2 linked regions of the Pelodiscus sinensis genome follow. The protein of the gene in region 2 interacts with the protein of the main gene of each other region in a pairwise test. Links are inferred from orthologs where the notes say so. Each region holds a gene or a part of one and is shown on either strand. Other genes may lie near its edges.

What was found.
Region 1: the proteins of SPRED1 (region 2) and HPCAL4 interact in binary tests that used the Homo sapiens proteins (3 or more experiments, as listed by UniProt). The link is inferred for Pelodiscus sinensis from reciprocal best matches to the Homo sapiens genes SPRED1 and HPCAL4.

The regions. Positions count from the first base shown.
Region 1 is NC_134735.1:2,531,765-2,543,919, forward strand, and holds the start of HPCAL4 (hippocalcin-like protein 4), read left to right. Parts: upstream 1-6,659; 5' UTR 6,660-6,816; intron 6,817-12,155. UniProt on the Homo sapiens protein: May be involved in the calcium-dependent regulation of rhodopsin phosphorylation.
Region 2 is NC_134714.1:58,050,765-58,063,692, reverse strand, and holds the start of SPRED1 (sprouty-related, EVH1 domain-containing protein 1), read right to left. Parts: upstream 5,724-12,928; 5' UTR 4,601-5,723; coding exon 4,569-4,600; intron 1-4,568. UniProt on the Homo sapiens protein: Tyrosine kinase substrate that inhibits growth-factor-mediated activation of MAP kinase. Negatively regulates hematopoiesis of bone marrow.

The sequences.
Region 1 (12,155 bases), on a different chromosome or scaffold from region 2:
GAGAGACATTTATCCAACCTGCTCTTAAATCTCTCCAGAGATGGAAATTTCACAACCTCCCTGGGCAATTTATTCCAGTGTTTAACTGCCCTGACAGGAAGTTTTCCCTAATGTCCGACCTAACCCTCCCTTGCTGCAGGTTAAGCCCCTTGCTTCTTGTTCTATCCTCAGAGGCCAAGAAGAACAATTTTTCTCCCTCCTCCTTGTGACACTCTTTCAGGTACTTGAAAGCCGAGGGAAGGCAGCCCTGTTGCTGCCTGTAGTGTTTTCTAACGGGGCCCTTTGGTGTGTTGGGCAGACGTACAACTGCTACGCCACATACACAACCCAGGAACGCTCTCCAAGGACTCAGGCCCCTGAACCCGGAGCCTTTCCTCTCCCCTTGACAGCTACAGCAGGGCGGGTTAGATACGGGCACCCTAGCCCCGGGAACACTCAGCAGCATCTGAGGAGGAAGGACACCAGGAGCGGGAGCCGCCTGTTGCCGGCAGTCACCATGGAAACCACTTCCATTTGTTTCTGAAATCGTTTTGTGTCTCTCTGGTTTTCTTCTCCGCAGTCCTGCTCCTCCCCACCTAAGCTGCTCTCTCCCCAGGGCAGGAAGGGGGCAGGCAGGTTGCGGAGAAAGGGTGTGTCCATCGAGCATGATCCTCCCGCTGCGAAGGTAAAGCAGAGCTACCGGCTGCCCTCTTAGGCCTGGCCTACCCCGGGAACGTCGGTCGGACTCAGCCGCATGCGGCCAGTTTTCTAAACAGTGAGTCTGCGCCACCACAGCCGGTTCCGTCGACTTTACGGGCCGTTGAAGTCGATTCCGGTGCTGCTGAGTTCAGGGGGAGGGACCACTCAGTCGGGGCTTGCGTGGTCCACTTTCCGGTAGTGCAGATGCAGGGCTGTGAAAGTCGATGTTGTTAGCCTCCAGGAGGTGTCCCACAGTGCCCTGTGGCATCCACTCTGGCCACCACTATGAACTCTACTGCTCTCCGGGTGCACAGGAGAAGCCCTGGGAAAATGTGAATTTCATTCCCCGTGTGGCCAGCGTGGCAAGCAGACCTCCGAGCCGCACAGCTGGCCACGAGCTTCAGGAGTTCCTGTGGCCGCCGGCGAGCGCCAGCGTGGATCTCATTGCTGTGCAGGGAGAGGAATCTGTTCTCGCAAGGCCAAAGGAGGGCAGCTCTCTGTGCCACGGTCTCACAGGGCACGGAGGAGAAAGGCCACGCCAGGGCTGCCCAGCAGGGCTGCGTGAAAATCCAGGAGCTGAGGCAGTCGTACCAAACAACAAAGGAGGCAAACGGGCCGTCTGGAGCATCGCCGCGTCTATGACCGGCTGTGTGCGATCCTGGAGCAGGGGCGGGGGGCCGACCATCTTCCCCAGCCCGTCTGTGGGTTCCTCCCACGCACTCAGCTCCGGCCTGGCAGCAGCGTTTCAATTCGGGGTTGGTTCCCCCTTACTCTCTGCCCCGCTCATCACTCCTGACCTTGAGCTGCTAACGTAGCACTGCACCTCCTGGGCGGGGCAGGGCCCTGCCGGGACTCAGCTAGAACCGCCTCTAGCCCAGGAGGCCTTGGCCAATGCACCTTGGCCTGTTCAAAACCATCCCCGAGCAGGCGGAAGGGCCGGACGCAGGGGAATGGGGGGGCGGGGATGGCCGCAGCGTGAGGCGCCGAGCAGCCGAACTGGAATCCCGGCCTCCTCGCCAGCTCGGCTTTCAGGGCGGGTGCGGAGAGCAGACTGAGCGTGACTGGCACTTCCCTGGTGACGGAGGGCAAAGCTGTTGACATGCCCCCGCCGGGCCTGCTGGCTGGGCTGTCTCCATCACGCCCCAGGCTGGGGCGGGGGGGCCTGGCACTTGTGCCAATGAGCTTCTGCAGCCCTCGCTGCAGCGGGACAGTGCGACTTGCCCTGCCCGGCCGCTGCTTGTGACGGTGGCTCCCATCCAGCTTCCTGGAGCCAAAGGGTGCGGCCCCCCGGCTCTCCGGGGAGTGGCGGGCGGAGGCCTTTGCAAATCAGGGCAAGGTGACAGGCCCAGCCCGGAACAGCTCCCAGAACGTGACTCCGAGGGGCACTCTCAACGCTCCTGACCTCAGGGCGCTCGGGGCCTGCCTGGGTCACACTGCATGGGCCTGGCTCAGGAAAGGGCAGCCATAGGGCAGACTCGCTGGTGCGAGCCAATTAGGGAACCTAAGCAGGAATATCCCCCCCCCCCCCAGTATTAAAACATGACGTTCTTAGATGAACAAGCAAAACCAGAGCGCCCCGTTCGGCTCTGTCGACGCTAGAGACCTTCCAGCGGCGCCGCGGGCAGGTCCCCTGTGGAGTCTATGCCGGGGCGAGAACTCCCCTGTTGGCATAATTAAGCCATCCCCATGGGCGGTGGGGGAAGGTAGAGCTGGGGGAGGCAAACCCTAAGCCCCACCTCAGCCCCGCCCCTTCTCCCCATGGAGCCAAGCCACCCCCCTTCCCAGCAGCACCATGGGGAGAGAGGATGGTGCATGGGCCCTGCCTCCCCAGCCCTGTAGCAGAGGGAGGGCAGGTGCTCAGGGGCGGAGTGTGGGCGGGGCCAGGCTGGCAGTTTGGGAAGGCAACACCTCCCCCTGCCTATGATACCCACCTCCCCGACCATCTCCAATGAGCAGCAGTTGTGATGTCACTGGGAGAGGGGAGCGTGAGGCGTGTGCGGTCGCTTTCCCCGTATCTGGCCCCGTTCCTTATTCCTGGCCCTGCTCCAGGTTCCAGTCTCATGTCCTGGAGATTTACACAAAGTATTGTATGACCTGTTCGAACGTGAACGAGGAAAAGTTCAAACAATATTAAAAATGCCCAGGGGCGTGCATTTGTTTTGCAGAAGTAAAACGTTCCTTGCGACATATCAGGTCGGAACACGCATGTCCCTTTTACACCCAGCGCCGTAAGGGCGTCTGTCAGGTGCAGGCTGCCGCGGAAAATAGAGAGAGATGCTCCCGCTTCATGCACAGCTCACGGCCCCATGGACGATTCTGCGTCTTCATGATGTTAATGTGGTGGGACGTGGATTTAGGTAAAGTCTGACAGTGAATTTGGATTTGTTGTCTTTGTCATTTGTTTTTTACACACACACACACACACACACAATTTGTTGTCTTTGTCATTTGTTTTTGCACACACACACAATTTGTTGTCTTTGTCATTTGTTTTTTACACACACACACACACACACACACACGCGCGCGCGCAGACCTGACCGTAGTCTTCAGATGCCTCTTGCCGGCTCTGCACTAGAGGAAGGGTGGGAGGAGGCAGGAAGGGTTGGTGAGGCCTGCAGCAGCAGATGAACAGGAATTGTGTTTATTGCTGTATATTCCCCTCTAGACCGCCCTGGCCAGGACCGTGGGGCAACACCCCAGACTTTCTGCTGCACCAGTGCATGCCGGAGCCGGACTTTGCAGGCGTAGCAGGGATGAGCAATGCGGTTCAGAGGCATCTACCTTGCTAACAAAGTAACTTGATAAAAGCCACTGCCTGTAACTAAGGCCACCGGTGGGTTCACTGCCGAGGCACGGGGGGACCATGTGGGGTCACATGCTCCCCCAGATGGGTCACTAGCGTGTAATTGCTGAAGAGGGGTGCCCTGTCTCTGCCGGCCTTCCCCCCAGACGCGGCTCGCCGTGTTAGCCCTTTGGAGTATTGAATGCCATGTCCCAGGAATGCAGGTGGCGCTGCTGGCCCAGGCAGACAGAGGGAGACGTCCTGGCAGGCGGGGGTGGGAGCATGTTCGGGAAGGGGGGGGGCTTGTAGCTTGTTGCCGCTTTTTTTTTTATTGCCTCCAGGCAAGCAGGATCAATGGGGAGAGACTGCACGCTGGCGGGGGTGGGGAGGGCTGTCACTGAGAGTGCTGGGGACGGAAGGGGGGGGGTCTTTTAGGGGCTTTGTTGTGAAAGGGGATTAGCTTGAGTTTTGGCTTCTTGTCAGCGCAGGGTGCTGCTTTCCAGCGGGCAACCTCTTGGGCCAGCAGGAGGGACAGGCTGTTGGAGACCCCCCTGGGGTTGCTTTGGGCAGAGCTAGTCCATGGCCGTGGAGATTTCTGCTCCCCCCTGCAGCACTTTGGGACAGTCCTTGGTGGCATCAGACAGGCCCGCTCAGAGGTCCGGAGAGGCATGGACCACATCCAGCTTTGGAGGCCCCCTAGCCAGCCTCGTCAGTGGGAGTGGAGAACAGTGATCCCTGTAAGCTGAACGCTTGGGTGACGGCCCCGGAGAGATTCAAATGCCGCCCAGCTGATTAGCAGAGCGCCCAAAGCCCCCAACAGCTGGCAGCATGTGTTTCTTTGGGTGGTGCACATCTGCACATGCCTCGGTGCACATTGCAAAATTTATTGCGCACATAGATAGAGAAAATTAGCGAGAACATTGGTGGGGAAGGGGGCAATTGCACAGAGCCCTGGCGTTTCAAGGGGGCCCAGAGCTCCAGCTGCAACTGCAGGAGCCGTGGCAGCTGGAGCCACAGGCTCCTTTAAATTGCCATGGGAGCACTGAGTGCTGGAGGGGAGGGCCCCGCACCGTGCTCCAGACAGCACTAAGGACTGACTGCCCTGGGCCCCGCCTCTTCTGCCCTCCGGGGGGTGTGGAGCAGGCCCCCCCACACTTTGCCCCTGGGCCCAGGATGGCCGTTGGCCCCACTGCAACAATAGGAATGGCCCACGGGAACAAAATAAGGCCCCTCAAAAAAGAGCGAGACATAATTTGACAATGTTTTTATTTAACAAAAGCTTTGCTAGCCTGAGAGAGGAGGTCCCAGTTCAGTCCCATAGGGATGCGGATAAAAACAAGTTGCAAAACTTACCAAATGCTAAAAGATTAACAGGTGTCTAAATTTGAGGTCCCATGTGAGCTTGAGGCCCAGGTCAAATGGCCCTGCTGCCCTCCTCCCCTGACTGGCTCTGGCATGGGATGCTGCAGTGGGGGAGCAGGAGCACGTGTGGGGGAGCTGCCAGGAGTCTTGCCCACAGAAGAGCTCAGTGTGGGCTAGAAAGCTCTGCTCTGCCACCCCAGAAGTTGGCAGCAGGTTTAAAACAACCCAAAGGAAGTTTTTCTGCACACAGTGCAGAGCCAACCTGTGGAACTCCTCGCCAGGGGATGTTGTGAAGGCCAGCACTTTAACAGGGTTGGAAAAAGAACTAGATAAACTCATGGACTACGTCTACACTGGCACCCTTTTCCGGAAATGCTTAAAACGGAACAGTTTTCTGTTATAAGTATTTCCAGAAAAAGCGCGTCTACATTGGCAGGATGCTTTTCCGGAAAAGCACTTTTTCTGGAAAAGCGTCTGTGGCCAATCTAGACACGCTTTTCCACAAAAAAGCCCCGATCGTCATTTTCGCAATCGGGGCTTTTTTGCGGAAAACACTACTGTGCTGTCTACACTGGCCCTTTTCCAGAACAGTTTTCCGGAAAAAGGACTTTTGCCCGAACGGGAGAAGCATAGTATTTCCGGAAAAGCGGCTGATTTCTTACAGTAGATCGTCAGTGCTTTTCCGGAAATTCAAGGGGCCAGTGTAGCCAGCTGGCAAGTTATTCCGGAAAAGTGGCTGATTTTCTGGAATAAGTGGCCAGTGTAGACACAGCCATCGAGGTTAGGCTATTAGCCAGGATGGGTAGGAATGGGTTCCCTAGCCTCTGTTTTTCTGGAATTGGATTACAGGGGAGGAGGGTTGAGAATTACCTGTTGTATTTCCCTCCCATTGGACATCTGGTATCGGCAGACAGAACACTGGGCTAGATGGACCTTTGGTCTGACCCAGTCTGGCTGGTCTTATGGTCCCATGAAAGGTATCTCCCTCACCCAGCTTAACATCTCCCTGAATCCTGGGCCATGCATACTAGGGATGTCAAATAACTGGTGTAACATATTGTTTAATCCAGGGGCGGGGACCTTTTTTTGGGACAGGGGCTGCTGACCCACAGAAAAATCATTTGGGAGCTGCACACAAGAAGTACCCCCCCCCCCCACAATCCTCTAGTACAACAGAGCCTAGGGGGGCTGGGGCTAATACATTTTGTGGTCCCCATAAACTCTGGGGTGGGGCCAAAAATGAGGGGTTCGCTGTGTGGGAGGGGGCTCCTGGGAAGCGGGCTTGGGGTGTGGGCTCTGGGCAGGAGGGAGGGTGCAGGAGCAGAGTGGGGGTGCGGGATCGGGGTGGGAGGGGGCCCGCAGAGCTGGAGTACCAGCTCCCAAATGCTGGAGGGGGAGCGCCGAGGCAAGGCGGGGGCCGGATCCGGCCCTCGGGCCGTAGGTTCCCCAACTCCGGTTTAAAGGAGGGCAAGCGGGGGGAGGAGGGGGACTCCAGCCCAGATGGAGCAGCCCCCCCCCCCCCCCGCCAGAGGCAGGGGCTGATCCAGCCCCCCCCATTAACGGGTTAACCCTTCCCATCCCCACTGCTACCGCCCCCAGCCCTTATCGTCGAGAAGGCAGAGCCCAGCCCCCCCTTGCTAAGCCCGGGGCGTGGATCGCTCTCAGCAGCGCCCCCAGCAAAGCCAGGACTGGCCCCGCGGGCCGGATGCAGCGCGGCCCGCGGGCCAGCCCGCGATCTCGCTCCGGGGCCCCACCTGTAGCCCGCCCCGCTGAGTGACACCTCCCTCTGCCAATCGGCCGGCCGGCGGAGCCAATCGGGCGCCTCCCCGCGGAGGGGGCGGGGCACCTAGTGGTACAAGAGCGGGGGCGACGCGGCGCCCGGGCACATCAGGTGGCGAGCGCGGGGCTCTCGCCGGTGCATGGGCAGCAAGCGGCTTCGCGCGACCTCGCTGGGCCACAGAGACCCGGCAGCTCCCCCTGCAGCCTCCCAGGTAAGGGGGGCCGGGGGCCAAGCGGGGCTCCCTGCAGAGTGGGGGGCAGTGGGTCCGAGCCGCCAGCTGGCGCTCTCCGGGGGGTAGCTCCGGCCGCCCTTGCTCAGCTGCGGCTGGTCCCGGGCAGGTGCTGGAGAAGGAGCATCAATTGCAAAGGGCGGTGTGTGGGGGGGCGGTTACGCAGCTTCTCCCGAGGGGGAGCAGAGAGACTGGGGCTCTGGTTCACGTGCCCTGCTGCTGCCAGCTCCGGCGGCCGGTGCAGGTTGCCCTGGGCTGGCGTTGGCCCAGGACTTGTGCTGCGCCTCCTGCAAAGTTTCACACGGCGTGGGTGGGGGTGGAGGGTTCGTGCCTCATCTTATTAAATCCGTGTGGGGCTAGCAGGGATGGGGAGCCCTGCTGCTCCTGGGAAGTGGCAGAGGGGCAGGAGGTGGGGGTTGGCCTGGCTCTTTGGGGGGGGTCTGGCAGGAAGCCTGGGGGAGCCCTCCAAACCCAACCTCAGTCAACCCCCCCAAAGGTCTTTGGGGAGGTGTGTGCAGAGACCCCCCCCTCCCTTTGTTTGCCTCCAGGCCTGTGTGGCCGGGAGCAGGACCGGGTGGTGCTGCGGCGCCCAGCAGAGTGCATGTGGGGGATGAGGGTGGCTTGAATTGATGCTTCATTGTTGGGGGGGGGGGGTGAAGGAGGCTGTAGAGACCTGTTCCTGCATGTACATTAGTGGGTGCAAACACTTGCTACTGTCTATCTAGTCCCTATGCGTACCAGAGCTTTCGGTGCTCTCCCCTAGCCTCAAAGCAGCCATCTTGTCACTGCTGGGGGTGGCTGTGTGTGGGAGGGGTCTTGGTGAGTCTCCTGTGCGGCAGTTTGGGTAAGAGGGTTTGGGACTGGCCCTCGTGAGTGGCGGTGTTGCAGTGCAGGAGGCCGGTCCCTCCGGAGGACTAAGGGATTTGCAGTCCAGAGCCCCCTGTTCGGTCCCAAGAACAAGTCAGTTCCCCAGGGGTTCACCCCACCAGGCTGCCTGCCACCGTTCCCTGTAAGCTGAGCGCTTGGCCTGCCGGCCACTCCAGAGAGACTGAAATGCTGCCCAGCTGATTAACAGAGCGCCCACTGCTGGCAGCATGTGTTTGTCCTGGTGGGGCACATCTGCACGTGCCTCAGTGCACATAACAAATGATTCTGCACATGGATGGGGGGAAAAATAGAGGGGATGTTTGTGCCTGCCATGGGTTTTGTTTTTGTCGGGTTTTTCCCCTACTCCCCCACCCTCCCTCCAGCTTGCAATAGCTACTGTGCCCTGCTGTCTAGGCGCTGCTCGTGGGGTGACATGTTTTCATTAAGGTTTGGTCATCTTTCTACCAATCACAACTCTGGAGGCAGGCAGGGGGGAGGGGGAGGCGGTTCTCCTTCTCGGAGAACCTTCACAAAGTGCCACCGCATGACGGAAAACTAACAATACAGCACGCTCCAGCCCACGGAATGAAGAAGCCCTTTCCGAATGTCAGCCTGTGCGTGCATCGCTGTGTTGCATGCGGGTATAGACACACACTAGGCATGCGCGGTGCTTGTGTGGACAGTACACTGTGTGTACACACAATGGAACACACACGGCACGCAAGCGATGTCTTGCGGTTCTGGGTTTTGCACCGATCTGTTGCTATGGTTCTTTAACTGTTTGCGTGGCAGCTTGGGTGGGGATCTGGTAAATAATTCGGCAGCTCTTTTCATCCAGCTCAGGCCACCGGGAAGGTCTCCACTTCATTCCTTGTTCCAGGGATCGAGATTCCCTCCCATTCCTGGGACGATATGGGATTATCCCAGTCAGGGATGCCTTTTATCCCCTGGCTCCTAAAATTATTCAGGGAGCATGAACTCGATGGCATCAAATGGCGTCCTATATCTGAGGCTTTCAGCATCCCTCCGTGTGTAAGTGTTCTGTGTCCCCACACTCCTCTCTGCGCACACACAATGGATGAGTGCACAAACTGAGCAGTGTGGCGCAGGTGGAACTGAACCTGGGACCTCTGATGCTTAGTCTTGAGACTTAGTGACTCATCTTAGGTGCTAAGGCTGTAGAGCAAACGCACTGTTCTCTCGGTAGTGGTCTAAGGGCCACTCACCCCACGGACAGTACATCACACCCACCCTTCCCTGTGTGCATGTAACTGTCTAGGTGTGATCTACACGGGCATTGGCTTGTGACTGGCGTTCCCCTCTGCCCCAGCCCACACGTTCCCCTTACAGGTTCAGGGCCCTTTTTTGCTGCTCCTAGGGCATTGGCTCTGCCCCAACCATGCAAATAACAACCGTTCCCCACGGCATCCCTCACAGCTCTCGCTGTTCTCTTATGCAAAGCGTGGTCACTCCGGCTGCCATGGGGCCCTGTGTGCATCTGCTGGGAAGGCCATCCTTCCTGTCCCTGCACGCTGGTGGGACCCTACCTGGTGCCCGGCTGTTTTTCTGCCTTTGGTTGTAGCCGTGGCTGGTGCACCAGGAAAACCCTGCCTACTCTAGGAGCACAAAGGATTAATTCTGGAGCAGTTGGAGAGCTGCCTGTGTCTAGAATCAGTCGGACTTGTGGTGCTCTGTAGAGGATGCAGTCCTGCAAACTGGAAGGCAGAGGGACCCCAGGAAACCCCCTCTGATTGTGGGGGTCAGAGGACACTGGGGGAGCAGAACAGCTGTAGCCAGGCCATGCTGTGAGGGTCAGAATAATAAATCTTTGCAGCAAGTCAGGAAAACAGCAGAAGGGAGAATTTCCCTGCACCATGTGAGTCCCAGAGAATAACTCTGGTGCTTGGCTTCTTGCGTCTAGCAAATCCTTGGGCTGCATGAGTGGAGAGGCTCAGCCCACAGCACTGCAGAGTTTTAAACAGCGTTACCAGCTGGAATGCAGCCGCTTCTGGGTTGGAACACTGTGATTCTGTGCCAGGCTTGAGGAGGAAAACGGAGGCAGACTGGCATCTGCCCATTGTACAGATGGGAGAATTGGGGCATGTGGTGAGGAGATGGAACTAGCACGTCCCAGCAGCGCAGTCTCAAGGACAGCGGAGGCCTGGATCCCAGCCGTGTGGTGTGGTCTCAGCTCTGATTAGCATTGTGGGGAGTATTGTAAGTGGGAAGAAAGGGGCTGACCCGAATTCAGGGCTAGGGGTGTCCATGCTTAACCAGAAAGCATCACCATTACTGGGTAGCTGGAGCAGCTCCCCTACCCCACACCTGGGGGCTGTTCCAGCCCAGTGGGTCTGGAGGCCCCCTGGCCTGTGGGATCCCGTTTAAGCACTTACACTCATCCTGACTAGGGATATGAAACCCCATCTAATACGTGGGGTGTGATATTTAACTGACTTCTCAGTCCCCACCAGAAACCACTCGGACTCTACTAGTACAAGGAATTGGGACATCGTTTCACAAGACTGCACGTGCAAGGTGGCATCTCTCACTGCGGGGCCAAGCTGGGAGATGGCCCAGGCCAGTCCTGCTGAGCGCGTGCAGCCCTCTTAGCATCCCAGGCCTGCAGACTCGTTTGGTTTCCTGGTTCACAGAGCCCCCCCCTTGTTAACTGGGTCTGGTTGCGGAGCCACAGTACCAGCATCTAAGCTTTGAGCTTTGCTGGCTGAGCCTTGGCATGAGGGGGTGGGGGTAGGTGGGATGCAGGGAGCTTCCTCTGACCCTGCTGGGCATGCAGGGTGTGACATTAAGTGCTGCCAAATTTGCCCCACTTGATCTTCCTCCTCAGGCCCAGGGGACCCACTTCCTGGAAGTGTGGGGCAGGCAGCTCTAGAGCGAAAGGTGCAGACAACTCGATGGGAGGGAGCCTAAGATCTCCAAAGTCAAATACTCCCCACCAGGGAGGGGAACCTACCAGCTGGGAGCTGGATCTGGTCCTCAGGTTTGGGGCTCCCCTAGCATTGAGGAGCTTGTACTGGTGCTCCAGTACCCCCCACTAGCCTCCTGGAGGGCTGGAACAGTCTCCCAGCCTGGGCCCCCCAGGTGGTGAGAGGAATGTGGGGAGTGTCTTTCTGCTTCTCACTCGGGGTGTCTCGTGCTGTGTTGCTTCTCACTCATGTTCCCCCACTGACTCCTCTGTGGGTCAGCTGGCCCGGCCCAGGGAAGGGTTCCTCATCCCTGCTCTACACCAAGTCTCGGGACACACCCTGCTGTGGGATGAGATGGACCCTGATTTTTTTCTTTGCCCCACGTGGGAACCACTAGCCACAATGACTTTCCCTTTCTTCCCCAGAGGGGGGAGATCTCTAATCCGTTTTAATCCTGTGGGGTTTGGCGGCCACGCAAAGGCCTGCGGAAGCAAAAGGTGCAGGGAAGAATTGGCCGGTCGCTTCGGGGATGCTGCTACTGTTGGCAACCGGCTCTCCACCGTGGAGCTGTCGCCATGGCAACTCCTCAGCACCAGCTCCTAGATGTACCAGGGTAATGAGGAGTCTGTCCCTGCCCCCTCCCCTTCGGCACGAGCACAAACAGGCCTGGGGGGAGGGGAGCGCTGGGGGCCACTCGGCCTCCACCCCTTGCAGCCGGGGCTGCGCTGGGCAGGGATGTCGGAGACCAGGAATTGGGGCCCTTGGTTCTGGAGGGACTGGCTGCAACTATTTTGGGATGGTGAGGGCATCAGTTGCCAAGCTTTGGAGGGCCCCTGGCAAAGCAAGAACTCGGAGGCCGGGGTATTTTGTTGCAGCCCATTTGTGCGGTGAAAGGGTGGGAGCCAGCCAGGCCAGCAACCAAACCTCCATCCGCAGGGCGGGGTAAACGAGCTGTGAGGTGCAGCTCGGCCCTGAGGGAGATCCCCCCCCCCCCCCCCCGAGCTGAGTAAACTTGCATCCTCTGGTGCCAGGGCTGGATCCCTGCCTGTCCCATGCTGCTAGCAGCTCCCCGGAATGGGTGCTCAGCCAGTGTCAGGGCCAAGCCTGCAGCTGCTGGGGTTCTGCCTTCCCTTCCCGGAAGGGGCTGCTGAATCCCCGTGTCTTCAAGCCTGGGCCCAGCCGGTTTAGTGCAAACGTCACCTCGCTTGGGCCACTGGCTAAGGTCCAAGGGGGGCCTTAAAGGCAAGGGCTGGGTAGAGCCTGTGCTCCGTCAGCAGCCGTGTCCTGGAAGCACGTGCTCTGCAAAGTGGGGCTGGGCTGCACTAGAGTGAGATTCTGGGGTGGGGGTGGACTTGGCCCAGTGCAAGGACTGAACACAAGGGGGCGATCCCAGTGGGGCCGCTCTGGCACCATCCCCAAACAGGACCCAGTGAAATCTCTCCCCGGCCCTGACCTCTGCCGGTTGAACAGGCAGCTCTCGACTCCCAGCGCTGCGACTCGCTGGAGGAGAACACGCCTGACGCACCTTCT
Region 2 (12,928 bases):
CAGAAATAAATAAATTATAAAATGGCAGTGACAATCTAATTAGCAAACTCAGAAGGGACACTATCAATTTACATTTTTTACAGTTTCTCTCATATATACATATACTGTATGTGTGTGAGATTATACACACACACACACACACACACACACACACTTACTTCTCTTAATTTAAGGTTTTTTGTATAAAAGTGACAGATTTCAAAAATCTAAATTCATTTTTTCTATATAGGGTGTTTGTTCAAGCTGCAAAAATGCATTTAAAAAAATCTAACAACTAACACTGAAAAAGAACTAGTTAGTTTCGATTCCAGGGTCAAAGTCTTATATTAGTTCAATCATTCTATATTTTGGCTGGAAATAAAAGGAGATACTTAAAATGTATTGATGATACAGTACTGCAGTTTTATTTTGAAGTTCTAGGAAAATATTTTGCAGGACCTCATTGTATTTTTAAATATCCACTCTAGTTTTGGGAGATACACTTGACTCAACATTTTCCCCTCCACACTTAATAGATCGGCCAGCTCTGCCATGACATGATTGATATCGCTGTTCCTTGTCAAATTACAGGCAGCAACGTATCTCTGTTATAAAAAATTCAACTGAAATATTTAACAGGCAAAAATACATGACTCTATAGTTAAAATAAATGAGAATGCTATATGAATTTAAGATCATCTTTCATCCAGAACTTACAAATCAGAGCCTAAATGTGCAAGCCTACCGTATGCACAAATGGTCTCCAAAACTGAGTTCAGGAGAAACAGTAAAGAGGACTTGCAGAACCATGGACCACTTCTCTTACTAAGGGCAACCTGGAACTAACATATGCAACAATAGGAAATAATGTGAAAAATCTGCCAGTAGGGTGTTGCTTACTTTTGGACGAATGGGTCCCAAAATGTAATTGTATTACAAAATTAGTATAATAATTCCATCCAAGCTTAGTGGTTATTTATCCACATTAAAAATACAACTCTATTTTAGTTGTCATAGGCAGTGTTGACTTCCAGATATTATAAACACAATAAGGAGGGTTGAATTGGCCCAATAAAATATATTACCTCACCCACCTTCTCTTTCTCTTAGTAGTGAATTTGTTCTGTTCAATGAAGGCCTGATTGTGGAATTATTGGGGGTGCTTCTAGTCAAGAAGAGATGTACACACAGGCAAGAATCAAACTTTGTAAGGTACCTGTTCACATAATGCTAGTATGAGATATGCATAATTAGCTTATGCCCATGAGCATCAAGAAAAATCTTCACTCTTCCACTATACCAAATGACAAAAAACAATCATGTTCTTTTTATTGTCCATCACCCATGTCAAATTGTCATGAAAATGTGTCAGCCTAGCACAGCACATACACACACGCACAAAGTATTTGTTCATGCTTTACAACAAGATGAAAATTAAAACAACAACAACAAAAAGACATACCTAAGGAAACTATTTGCCCAACTACAAAATTCCTGTCCCTCGTAAGCATAATTTTGTAATGCTAACCTTCTACATATTCGTTTAAAAAAGCAAGGAGTGACATCTGATACCGCTTTTAATTTTCACAGCCTTTTATTTCACTGATATCATTTACAGTGATACAAAATATCCTTAGATGAGATCAAATGTTAAACAAGTATATAACCCAATCCTTTACTCGTTCTGTAAAATTTTTTTTAATACAGAGTTTTGCATGCCAAAAAAATAAATGACCCAGCTTTCAGCATAATTCTCAGTTACACTGTAACAAAATGTCTTTCCAAGTACCCGTATTTGCTTTTAGGTGATGAGAAATTTGTAGATTAATACATTAAGGCAATAATTTTGTTCACTCCTCCGTTGCTCTGTGAAAGACATACACAAACAGGGAAGTAGTGAAACCAAGCAATGTCAAACCATAAAGCAAATTGGAAGTTTTTTCAAATGTTTCTGTTACAATAATGTCTGAGTACTATCTGCAACCATAGTAGATAAAAAGCCTGTTCACATAGAAAATTTTTTGAATTGACAGTGCCTTACAAGTTTTTAGATTAGTCATCTGTTTACATTCAAACACCTCAGAAAACCAAAAATGGTCTCAAACTGTAGATATCATAAGTATTGAAATCACTCAAACACCATTCTCCTGGCTTTTTAAGAAAATTCCCCCAATCCCTTCAAAATGTCTCTCTGCCAACTAGGAATTAAACTAGCCCAATAATATATGTATCATCATCATCACAAAGATTTTAACACAGCAACCTACCTAGTATTTTTTAACAAAAGATTCAGGTAACCAAATGCAAATTGTTTTCTGCTGGTTAACTTGAATCCAACAACTAAGTTTCCTTGAATATTTGATTTTTTTAAATTGAGATACTCAAAAAATGTTTCAATGGACTAATTTAAAAATTTAAAACAGCATCCTTCACATTGGTTCTAATTTTTTTTAAAAGAGTACTGCTCCTCTGATATTTAAAAAGACTTTTCAGCAAGAGGAAAAAAGTCTAAATATGAAAGTGACTGTACATAAGTCCTGTAAAATTCATAAAAAGAAAAATCTTTCCTTCTCACTGATTTTTTATTTTTACGACGAGACATTACTTAACAGAAGTTACACCATTTTCTGAAATGTGGTTTTCAACATCATATTAAGGTTTGACTTATTAAAAACACTAGTATCTGTTATTCCATGTTGCAGAAAGAATATAGTACAAAGTAATTTGAATTATTGCTATGGGAACTGGCAAATTAGTTTGTCTTGAAAGCAATGCAAGAAAAATGCACTGGTGAATTTGGTTTTTCAGTATTTCATTTCTGATTCGCTGTTTCTAAAGATGAAATTACTCTAAACATGCCTTCCCACAGTACATTTTGAAATGTAATGAAGTGATTTCTGGATTATCTTCTCTTTGAATGCAATTTTTATTTTAAAAAAAAACAAAGAAAACACAACAAGAAAAGGTAAGTTTATCCATGATCCTCAGAAATAAGCAGTCTCTCCTTCCCTTGAATTCTGACAAACCTCGTCTCTCTCTATCCAGATCTAATCTGCAACTCTGTTCAGAACAGACAGTGTACTGCAGTGTGAATGGACAGCCAGGTAATTTTATGAATGGAGCAGATCACGTGCTCGCAGCACCTCCCCGAGCTGATATTTCCCACATAACTCTGTCAACAACCAATTTTTTTAAATCAAGTAGTCCTGGAAATCCTAATGTTCAAACTTCCTACAATACTCAGACTGTTGACGTGCAGGAAAGGCCTATACAATTCACACGGCAGGTCTTGTTGAATGTCAACGGTGGTGTTTTAATTTTTTTTTATGAATGGAAATTGTGGTATGCAAATTAGAACGATTCACAAAAAAGAAAACATGGCGACTGCTTCTGCCTCGTTACACTGATACTGGAGCAATTCACCTTCTAAACCACTGCAATGTAACATTTCGTGCTTTACCTACTGTAGCTTAGGATTTCTCAAAACACTAGTTATTCAAGTTTGAAATTTAATCAATGTGTTAAAAAGAAAAAAATATTTTCCTTAACGATTTTCCTTTCCTTCCTTATATCTTAAGGAATGCTTTATTTAGCGGAATGCCTGTAAATGGCAATCTACCTGCACTACCAATGACACAGTTTTGTCATATAAATGACAAATGAACTCGCTATTTAAAATACATTTTAGAAAGCACAGGATGATTATTTTCCATCACCAAGAGTTGAGTCTGCACTATGACAAGCCACATCATTCGTAAAACGAATTCCAGCAAATGACTGAATTGCAAATCATTATTCTGGAAAAGATTACATAGCCTCTTGCAGACAGAGGCACTGGTAGTAACCCTCATGAACTTTATACCTTTACACGTTTCTGATAAAGACTGAGATCAACATACCTCTAAATACTTTGCACTTGTTTTTAAACGCCACAAAGGGACTATTTACTAACAGAATATTATTTCTTCCCTTCCACTCAAAATGTAAATATCATAGACTAAAAGCAGTAGGATAAATATCTAAAAATCGCAAGAGGCGGCCTGACTTCGTCCAATCTCGATATATTAAAACTGTAAGAGACTCGCCCTCCCTTTACCCAAGAGCTCATAACTTCAGGGAAAAGTTTAAACTTTATTTACATTGACTGACTCATCCCATTAAAATTCAACAGCAGTTTCCTGCAGGATGAAGCTCCCACACACTAATTTCCATGTGAAACATCTGTGAGATAGGATTTGACCCTAGGCGGCATGTAGAGGAGGGAGGTGCACTGTTCGGACATTAAACCCCCACCTTTCCCCAAGTTCAACACACGCCGCCGCCAGTACCTGGCCACCTTTCTGTCATGTTGTAATTGCACTACACAAACACGGAGACTGGCTCCCGAGCTTTATGAACAAACCCCTAAGACACAAAAAGAGACCCCAGTGTTTCCATAACACAGACAATCCCTACGCGCAATACACACATAGGTAGGGCCACAGACCATCCGACAAGCCAGAGCAGTCCTGCACGGAACTGCCCAACGGTAGAAGCAGAGGAGGCAGGAAGCAGAGGGGTCAGAAGAAGAGTAACAAATATTTGCTTACTCGTTGTTAGAAGTCGCCGTCTCTTCGCTCATTTTTTTCCTCACCGTGATCCGACAGCGAGATGGAGCAGCAGCACCGACGCAGCCAGGGCGCAGCAGGAACTCACCAGAAACCTCACCATTGTTAACCCCCGAAGCTGCCTCTCCAACGAGAACAACAGTGAGGGGCAGCGGCAAGTCTTTTATCCCAGAGCCGCAGGGACCCTGCTGTCCGGCACTGGAGCGCAGCCCCCTGCCTCAGCGACGGTGGTGGCCGCAGCTCCTCTGGTCCGGAACGGGCACAGGCTGGCGCTGGTGGAAGAGGCAGGCTCCCAGCTGCAGTGAACTCCGCGCCGCTGTCCTCCCGCTGCAGCTCATCTCCCGCTGCAGCTGCCTTCAGCGCCCTCCTCCTCCTCCTCGCCGAGCGGGCTCGCCCCTCGCAGCCAGCCCCGGGGCAGCAGGGAGGGGGAGCAGCCACAGAAGAAATTCCTCCAAACAGCCGCGTCCGCCAGCCGAGGGGGAAGGGAAGGGAAGGGGGCGCGCGGGGGGAGGGGGCAAGTCACGCACCCCACCCTCAGCCAGCCACAGCCCCGCGAGCAGGGGACAAGCCCGGGGGTGGGGGCGGCGCGGGGAGGCGCTGCGAGGGGGGAGGGGGCGGCGGGATGCGTCACGGCTGCTTGTGTGAGGAATGGGGGGACGCAGGGGCCAGCGGGCGCCCCGCGGAGGGGCGGAAGGGAGAAGCCCCCAGCCGGAGCCGGCGAGAAGTTCAGCAGCCGCGCTCCATCCCCGGCGGCAGCAACTCCATTAGCCGCAGCCCCGCGCTCGCCTCCCACCGCCTCGCAGGAAAACTGGGCGGAAGCGTTGACTTCAGGCTCCTTCCGCCGCCACAGCTTGATTCCAAATAACCACGGGCGGGTGGGGGGCGGCAGAGAAAATAATCCCTTCGGCCCCCTCCACGCCAGCCGCTGGAGAGGCCTGCCGCGCGGCCCCGCTCGGCGCCTCCGGGGCCAGCTTAGTGGCGTGAAAGTAGTTCCTTCCCCTCCACTCGTTTCCCAAGGAGTTGTCAGCGGCACACACTCACGGAGGCGCGGAGGGATCTATAAAGCACTGCACTCGACACCCCCCTTCGTTTCGTCCCTGTGCATGTGTGAGAGAGAGCGCGAGCCTGTGTGTGTATGTGCGCGTGTGTGTATGTGAGGGAGAACGGAGGCGAGTAAGCGAGAGAGCTGGAGCTCCTGCCTGCGAGATCTGGGAGGGTGGAGGCCCAGGGAGGTTGCAGGGTTGCAACGCAGCCCTTGCACACAGTGCTGGCAACTAGCTTCCAGTCTTGCAAAGTTGGATCGGACAGTTCTGGTCTCTTCCTGTCAGGGCTGGAGTCGTTTGCAGGCAGGGAGGCTGCTCTGGTGCCGCACAAAGCGTGTGCATGGCACACACTCATCTGTTACTCTTCATGTAAAGTGCTGCCACACTGCAAGGGGGCGGATCGGGTTAATGCACGCAGCGCTAGTGCTGAGGTTGCATTGCTGCACCACAAAACATTGAATGGTATACATCTAGTGCTGCCGGGCTACACTGGATTTGCTTCTGTTCACGAAGGAGGGAATGGTTAATCTGTAAGGAGCCTGCTTCCATGGCAGGCAATGGGATTTTTTGCCATTGAGTTCAGTGGGAACAGGATGCTGCTCCGGTTCCATGCCAGTAACTGCAGAACTTGCTCATTGCATGCATTAATCTATTTGCCAATACAAGGAATCAATATACCTTCTGTAAGCCTGATCCAATGCTTTTCTGTCCAATCATTTTTTTTTTGGAATGCACGGATTTGTTTCTGACATGCTTGGAGGGGGGTTGCTAATAAGCATGAGGTGTAAGATTGCAGACATGGAGGAATGTGAGAAGGGATAGTGTTTGCCGTCAAAGGTTGAAGCGTGGCCTGACACACTTCAAACAAATGCCGTTCCTTCTCCAGTACATGCAAGAGGCCCGTGACTGCAATTTATCATTGCTAGCAGCGTTTACACAGACACATGCAAAGTGTTTTTAGAGAATTGAGTGTTTCCTCGTTAAATTCTCCTATAGGCTTGACGGGCTTCTTTACCAGCATGGATAGCTGAGATATCAGCAAAAGCAGTACCAAAGTCTCTTTGTTTTGTCCTAGGGAGGAAGGTGACTAGAAGAAAACAGAACTGAATTTTTAACAAAGTATGTTGTCAGTGTATGTAACTCTTTCATGTAATTCTTTATTGTTGCTGCTTTTATGAACAAAGATAGAAGAGAAAATCTAAAAACATGGTTAATTTACTAAGTATGTGCTATGCTTGACTTTATTCCATCCAGTTTAAATTCTTGTGGATACACTATCCATAAAATGCACTTTACTCACAGTAACCTTTAAGTTTTGAAGAGAGCCCCCTTTGCAATTAGTTTTTTAATCATGTAAATCTGGAAGCAGTTTACTGTGCTGTTCCATAACACAGTGTTGTAGTAGCTGTGTTGATTCCAGGTGGGTCAGGTAATATCTTGTTTTTGGACCAACTTCTGTTGATGAGAGAGAAAGAGAGAAGCTTTCGGGCTGCATGTGAACTTGAAAGCTCATACCTCTGACCAACAGATGTTGTTTCAATAAAATATATTACTTCACCCACTTTGCCTCTCATGAAAAATATATGGAACGCAGACTTGACCTCCTCTCTAAAACAAATGCACAATAAAATGAAAGCATTTGTAACTATTCTAGGATAGGTAATACAGGAGGCAGTGGCTAAAACCCAGACTAAACCCTTTTCAGAAGCTTATACAATAGACATGTTACTATAGAAGACTTCTTTGCCTGATTTAACTGAAAATAGAGATATAGTGAAATATGCACTTGAAGGTTATCTCCCTCTCTTATATTTTCTTATCTACCTCCCTTACACATATACCATGTTTCCAGTATATTTTTGTTTTACTTCAAACAGTTTCTTACTAGCCACCTTGGGTAGCTTAGGACAAGCTTCTCTTTCTCAGGGGCATGGTACCTTTTGTGTTCAAGATTCAGCAATCGCTCCCAGACATATTTTTGTGAGGAACTGTCCTTAAAGCAGTCCAAGAAGATACTAAGCAGTCCAAGAGTAGCACCTAAAAGCTTTGTCATGGACCAGGACTCAATTGTGCTATGAGCTGTACAAACATAGCAACACAGATGATCTATGCCCCAAAGAGCTTACACTTTTATTTATTTGTACCTTCTGTCAAGGAAGTTAAATAGACCCATTTTTATCTAACATAGTATGATGTAATCATGCAAAAAGGTCTTTCTTTTATACATATTTTAAGTTCCTTATAAATAGGCCTGATAGAAATTTTGTGTGTATTTAAAAAGAGTTTTGACTTAAATATCATGGAACAATTACAGTAACTGCTATTATCCTTTTTCTGATAATGGCCTTTAACACATATCTCAAACATGCAATAATAATATTATCTTCTCTTGCTTAGAAGGATGATAAGAACATTAATTAGTAATTGTTTTGTAAAAACATAAGGCATTTACAAATATAATAATTTTAAAAATATTCTGTCCAAAGAATAGATCAATCATGTGGCACAATTCCATTTCAATATATAAAAATACATCCAACAGCCAATTTTTGTACAAGATTTTTTACAGTATAATTAGGGCTTCTTCTTTGGGATTTATTAAATTCATTAGAGGTATTTTTAGTAATTTTAAAACTCTATTAGATGTCTGGAAATGATTTTTATGTAGATATAGATGTCCAGAAAGGAGTTTTGGGGCTTCCTCTTTGTATATATTGTAATGAATAATCTCTTAATAATGTTCCAAATGCTCTTTTATGTAGTGCTGTTTTGAACATTAAGGCAAAGTGGGGAACGTGAAGCGCACACCAGCAGAGCCTACATGGACCAATTAATGTGCAACAAGATAGCGTGCTTTGGAAATCACATTCCCACAGTCTGCACTACCGTTTCCAGTATTCACTGGATAAACAGCCAATTCCCATTTTCTCATGGGGGTGCTATATAGGTATTTGTCAGTTAAAACAGAAAATCAGAAGCCCTAAATATAATCTAGAAGAACAAAATAGTTATTCGTATCACACCATTTGTGAGAAAGGAGGTAAATATTTTTATTCTGAGCCACAGACAAAAGATTACCTAGTTATCTAAGTGAGAGTGTTTTTCAGTTTACTTTCTGTTTTGAGACTGGCAGATAATGTGATTTCCTGTTAATTTAATCTTTGTTTTATACTGGTTTCAAAGTTTAAATGGCTAAGATCCTGTAAATTAATAGTTTATAAAGATAAGTTGATTAATATGTTTGAGTACAAGAAATGCTCAGGAATCAGTTCATTTTGTCAGATGATGATATACTTCTATATATATATGTGAAAGAAAATTTAAAATCAAATGAAGTAAAAATCTTAAATGAATCAACATGTTCCATAGATCTGCTATGGATAGTAATTCCCTGCTGTAATAAGAATATAAGAGTAGGGATCTATTATTGACCACCTGACCAGGACAGTAATAGTGATTATGAAATGCTAAGAGAGATTAGAGAGGCTATCAAAAAGGGGAGAAGCAATTCTCGATTTAGTCCTGAGTGGCACGCAGGATCTGGTCCAAGAGGTAACTATAACAGGACCGCTTGGAAATAGTGATCATAATATAATAACATTTAACATTCCTGTGGTGGGAAGAACACCTCAGCAGCACAAATTGTGGCATTTTATTTCAAAAAGGGGAGCTAAGCAAAAATGAGGAGGTTAAACAGAAATTAAAAGGTACAGTGACTAAAGTAAAATCTCTGCAAGCTGCATGGACAATTTCAAAGATACCGTAATAGAGGCCCAACTCAAGTGTGTACCCCAAATTAAAAAACACAGTAGAAGAATTAAAAAAGAGCCACCGTGGCTTAACACCCATGTAAAAGAAGCAGTGAGAAATAAAAAGACATCTTTTAAAAAGGGAGGTAAATAGACAGGAGCATAAATACTGCCAAATTAAGTGTAAAAATGTAATAAGAAAAGCCAAAAAGGTAATAACAAAATGTTTTTAAGTACATCAGAAGCAGGAAGCCTGCTAAACAACCAGTGGGGCCCCTGGATGATTGAGATACAAAAGGAGCACTTAAAGACGATAAAGTCATTGTGGAGAAACTAAATGAATTCTTTGCTTCAGTCTTCACGGCTGAGGTTGTTAGGGAGATTCCCAAACCTGACCCGTCCTGAGGACTTGTCACAGATTGAAGGGTCATTAGAGGAGGTTTTGGAATTAATTAATAAACTTAACAGTAACAAGTCACCAGGACCAGGTGGCATTCACCCACGTTCTGAAAGAACACAAATGTGAAATTGCAGAACTATTAACTATGGTTTGTAACCTATCCATTAAATCAGCTTCTGTACCCAGTGACTGGAATATAGCTAATGTAACACCAATATTTAAAAAGGGCTCTAGAGGCGATCCCAGCAATTACAGACTGGTAAGTCTAATGTCAGTACCGGGCAAATTAGTTGAAACAATAGTAAAGAATAAAATTGTCAGGCACATAGAAGAACATAATTTGTTGGGCAAAAGTCAACATGGTTTCTGGAGAAAGAGGTAAACAGTGAGGTGGTAAAGTTTGCAGACGATACTAAACTCTGCTCAAGGTAGTTAAGACCAAAGCAGACTGTGAAGAACTCCAAAAAGATCTCACCAAACTGAGTGATTGGGCAACAAAATGGCAAATGAAATTTAATGTGGATAAATGTAAAGTAATGCACATTGAAAAAAAATAACCCCAACTATACATACAATATGATGGGGGTTAATTTAGCTACAGCTAATCAGGAAAGAGATCTTGGCGTCATCGCGGATAGTTCTCTGAAGACGTCCATGCAATGTGCAGCGGCAGTCAAAAGAGCAAACAGAATGTTAGGAATCATTTAAAAGGGATAGAGAAGAAGACGAGAATATCTTACTGCCCTTCTATAAATCCATGCTATGCCCACATCTTGAATACTGCACACAGATGTGGTCTCCTCATCTTAAAAAAGATATACTGGCATTAGAAAAGGTTCAGAGAAGGGCAACTAAAATGATTAGGGGTTTGGAATGGGTCCCATATGAGGAGAGATTAAAGAGACTAGGACTTTTCAGCTTGGAAAAGAGGAGACTAAGGGGAGATATGATAGAGGTATATAAAATCATGAGTGGTGTGGAGAAAGTGAATAAGGAAAAGTTATTTACTTGTTCCCATAATATAAGAACTAGGGGCCACCAAATGAAACTAATGGGCAGTAGGTTTAAAACAAATAAAAGGAAGTTGTTCTTCACACAGCGCATTGTCAATCTGTGGAACTCCTTGCCTGAGGAGATTGTGAAGGCTAGGACTATAACAGGGTTTAAAAGAGAACTAAAATTTCATGGAGGTTAAGACCATAAATGGCTATTAGCCAGTATGGGTAAGGAATGGTGTCCCTAGCCTCTGTTTGTCTGAGGGTGGAAATGGATGGCAGGAGAGAGATCGCTTGATCATTACCTGTTCGATTCACTCTCCCTGGGACACCTGGCATTAGCCACTGTTGGCAGATGGGGACTGGGCTGGATGGACCTTTGGTCTGACCCAGTATGGCCATTCTTATATTCTTATGTTCTGTTTTGATCCAAATGCAGCAGAAACACAGGTTTATGAAATAGAAGAAAATACTTGGAAAGGTTTTTACAGGTTTTTTTTTTTTAATGTTTCACTGTGGTAGTTCATGAGATGAAACATTTGCAGAATATCATGAAGACACAAAGAATTTCAGTTAACTGCAGCACTCTAACCATACCATAATAGTGAAGTAGAACCTATATCCTTTTAAACAGGAGTATTCTAAGGTGTGTCTTAAGAAGAAAATGAGAGTTTGCACCTTGCATCTTTTTATCTAAGGGTACGTCTTCTACACTGCACAGCTACCAAAATAGCTACTCTGCGTCTTCACAAGCCACCCATTATTTCGAAATATTTTGTCATCCCGGTAAACCTTGTTGTATGAAGGATAAGGAATGGCTAGAAATAGTGCGTTGTTTTGAAATTTGGCGCTGTGAAGTGCAAATATCAAAATAGCCTATTTCAAAATAGATTCAAAATTATATATGCAGTTTCCATAGTGCAAATTGCATATCTCATTTTGAATTTAGGGTGCTGGGTAGACGCACTGCACTGTTATTTCGAGATAACTAGCGTTAACAGCCATTCTGTTATTTTGAAATAATTTTAAAATAACAGATGGCTTATTCCGAAATCTGTAAACCTCATTCTACAAGGAATAATGCCTATTTCAAAATAGCTATTTCAAAATAATGTGTGTGTAGATGCTGCATTGCTGCTATTTCAAAATTGGCCTTGGTGAAGGGTTATTCTCCTCCCCAGTGCCTCCTGGGGCTCTAAATTGAGATAGCATGGCTACATTAGAGAAGCCTGCCTCAGACTAATTTTAAGGCTTTCCTGCAGTGTAGACGTGCTATTTCAAAATAAGCTATTTTGGAATAACTATTCCAGAATAGTTTATTTCAAAAGAAGCATGCAGTGTAGATGTACCCTCAGTGTCACAATCAGTAACACCAGTTTCATGGAAGAGGTAGGGGATTCCATCTCCTTAGATGCCTCCCACCATTTCTTCAGCTAGCTATGCCAGCTCTACTGCTGGAAACAGATTCTCCTATGCTAGAGAATCTGTACTAAGGGTACGTCTACACTACAGCGTTATTTCGAAATAAGCTATTTTGAAATAGTTAATTCAAAATAAGTTATTTCGAAATAACGCGTCTATACACAAAATGCATTTCAAGATATCATTTTGTCTCTGCATACTCTGGTTGCCCTCACTCAGGACACTACAGCACTCTGCAACATGGAGCCGGAGCCGCCCCTGGGCATTCTGGTGCTTCTCGTGGATGCGTTGCTGCGAGCCTGGCTGCACTTTCTGCAGGATGCCATCTGGGAGGTCTATCGGGGGGCTGTCAGTATCCAGGAGGCCCTACGGGAGAGCTTCCACCCTGAGGAGCACTAACAGTCTCCCTTGTCTGCACTACTGGGGTCCTGTGCCTCATTCCTCCCTCACGTCCTTCCACTTACTCCCCCTGCCCAACCCCTTTCCTTATGTAAAATAAAATACATGTATTTTCATGAACACAAACTCTATTTATTTAACAAAACTGGGGGAGGGGGAATGAAACTCTGGTGAGACTGGGGAAAGGAGGCGGGAGAGGGTGGGAGAGGGAAGTGGGAAGCCTGGGAAGAGGGAGCTGGAAGGGGGAAGCCAGGTGAGGAAGGTGGAGGGGAAGCTTAGGGCTCAAGGATGGGGGTCTCACCAGACCAACTTGATTTACATGTGAACCTGCTCC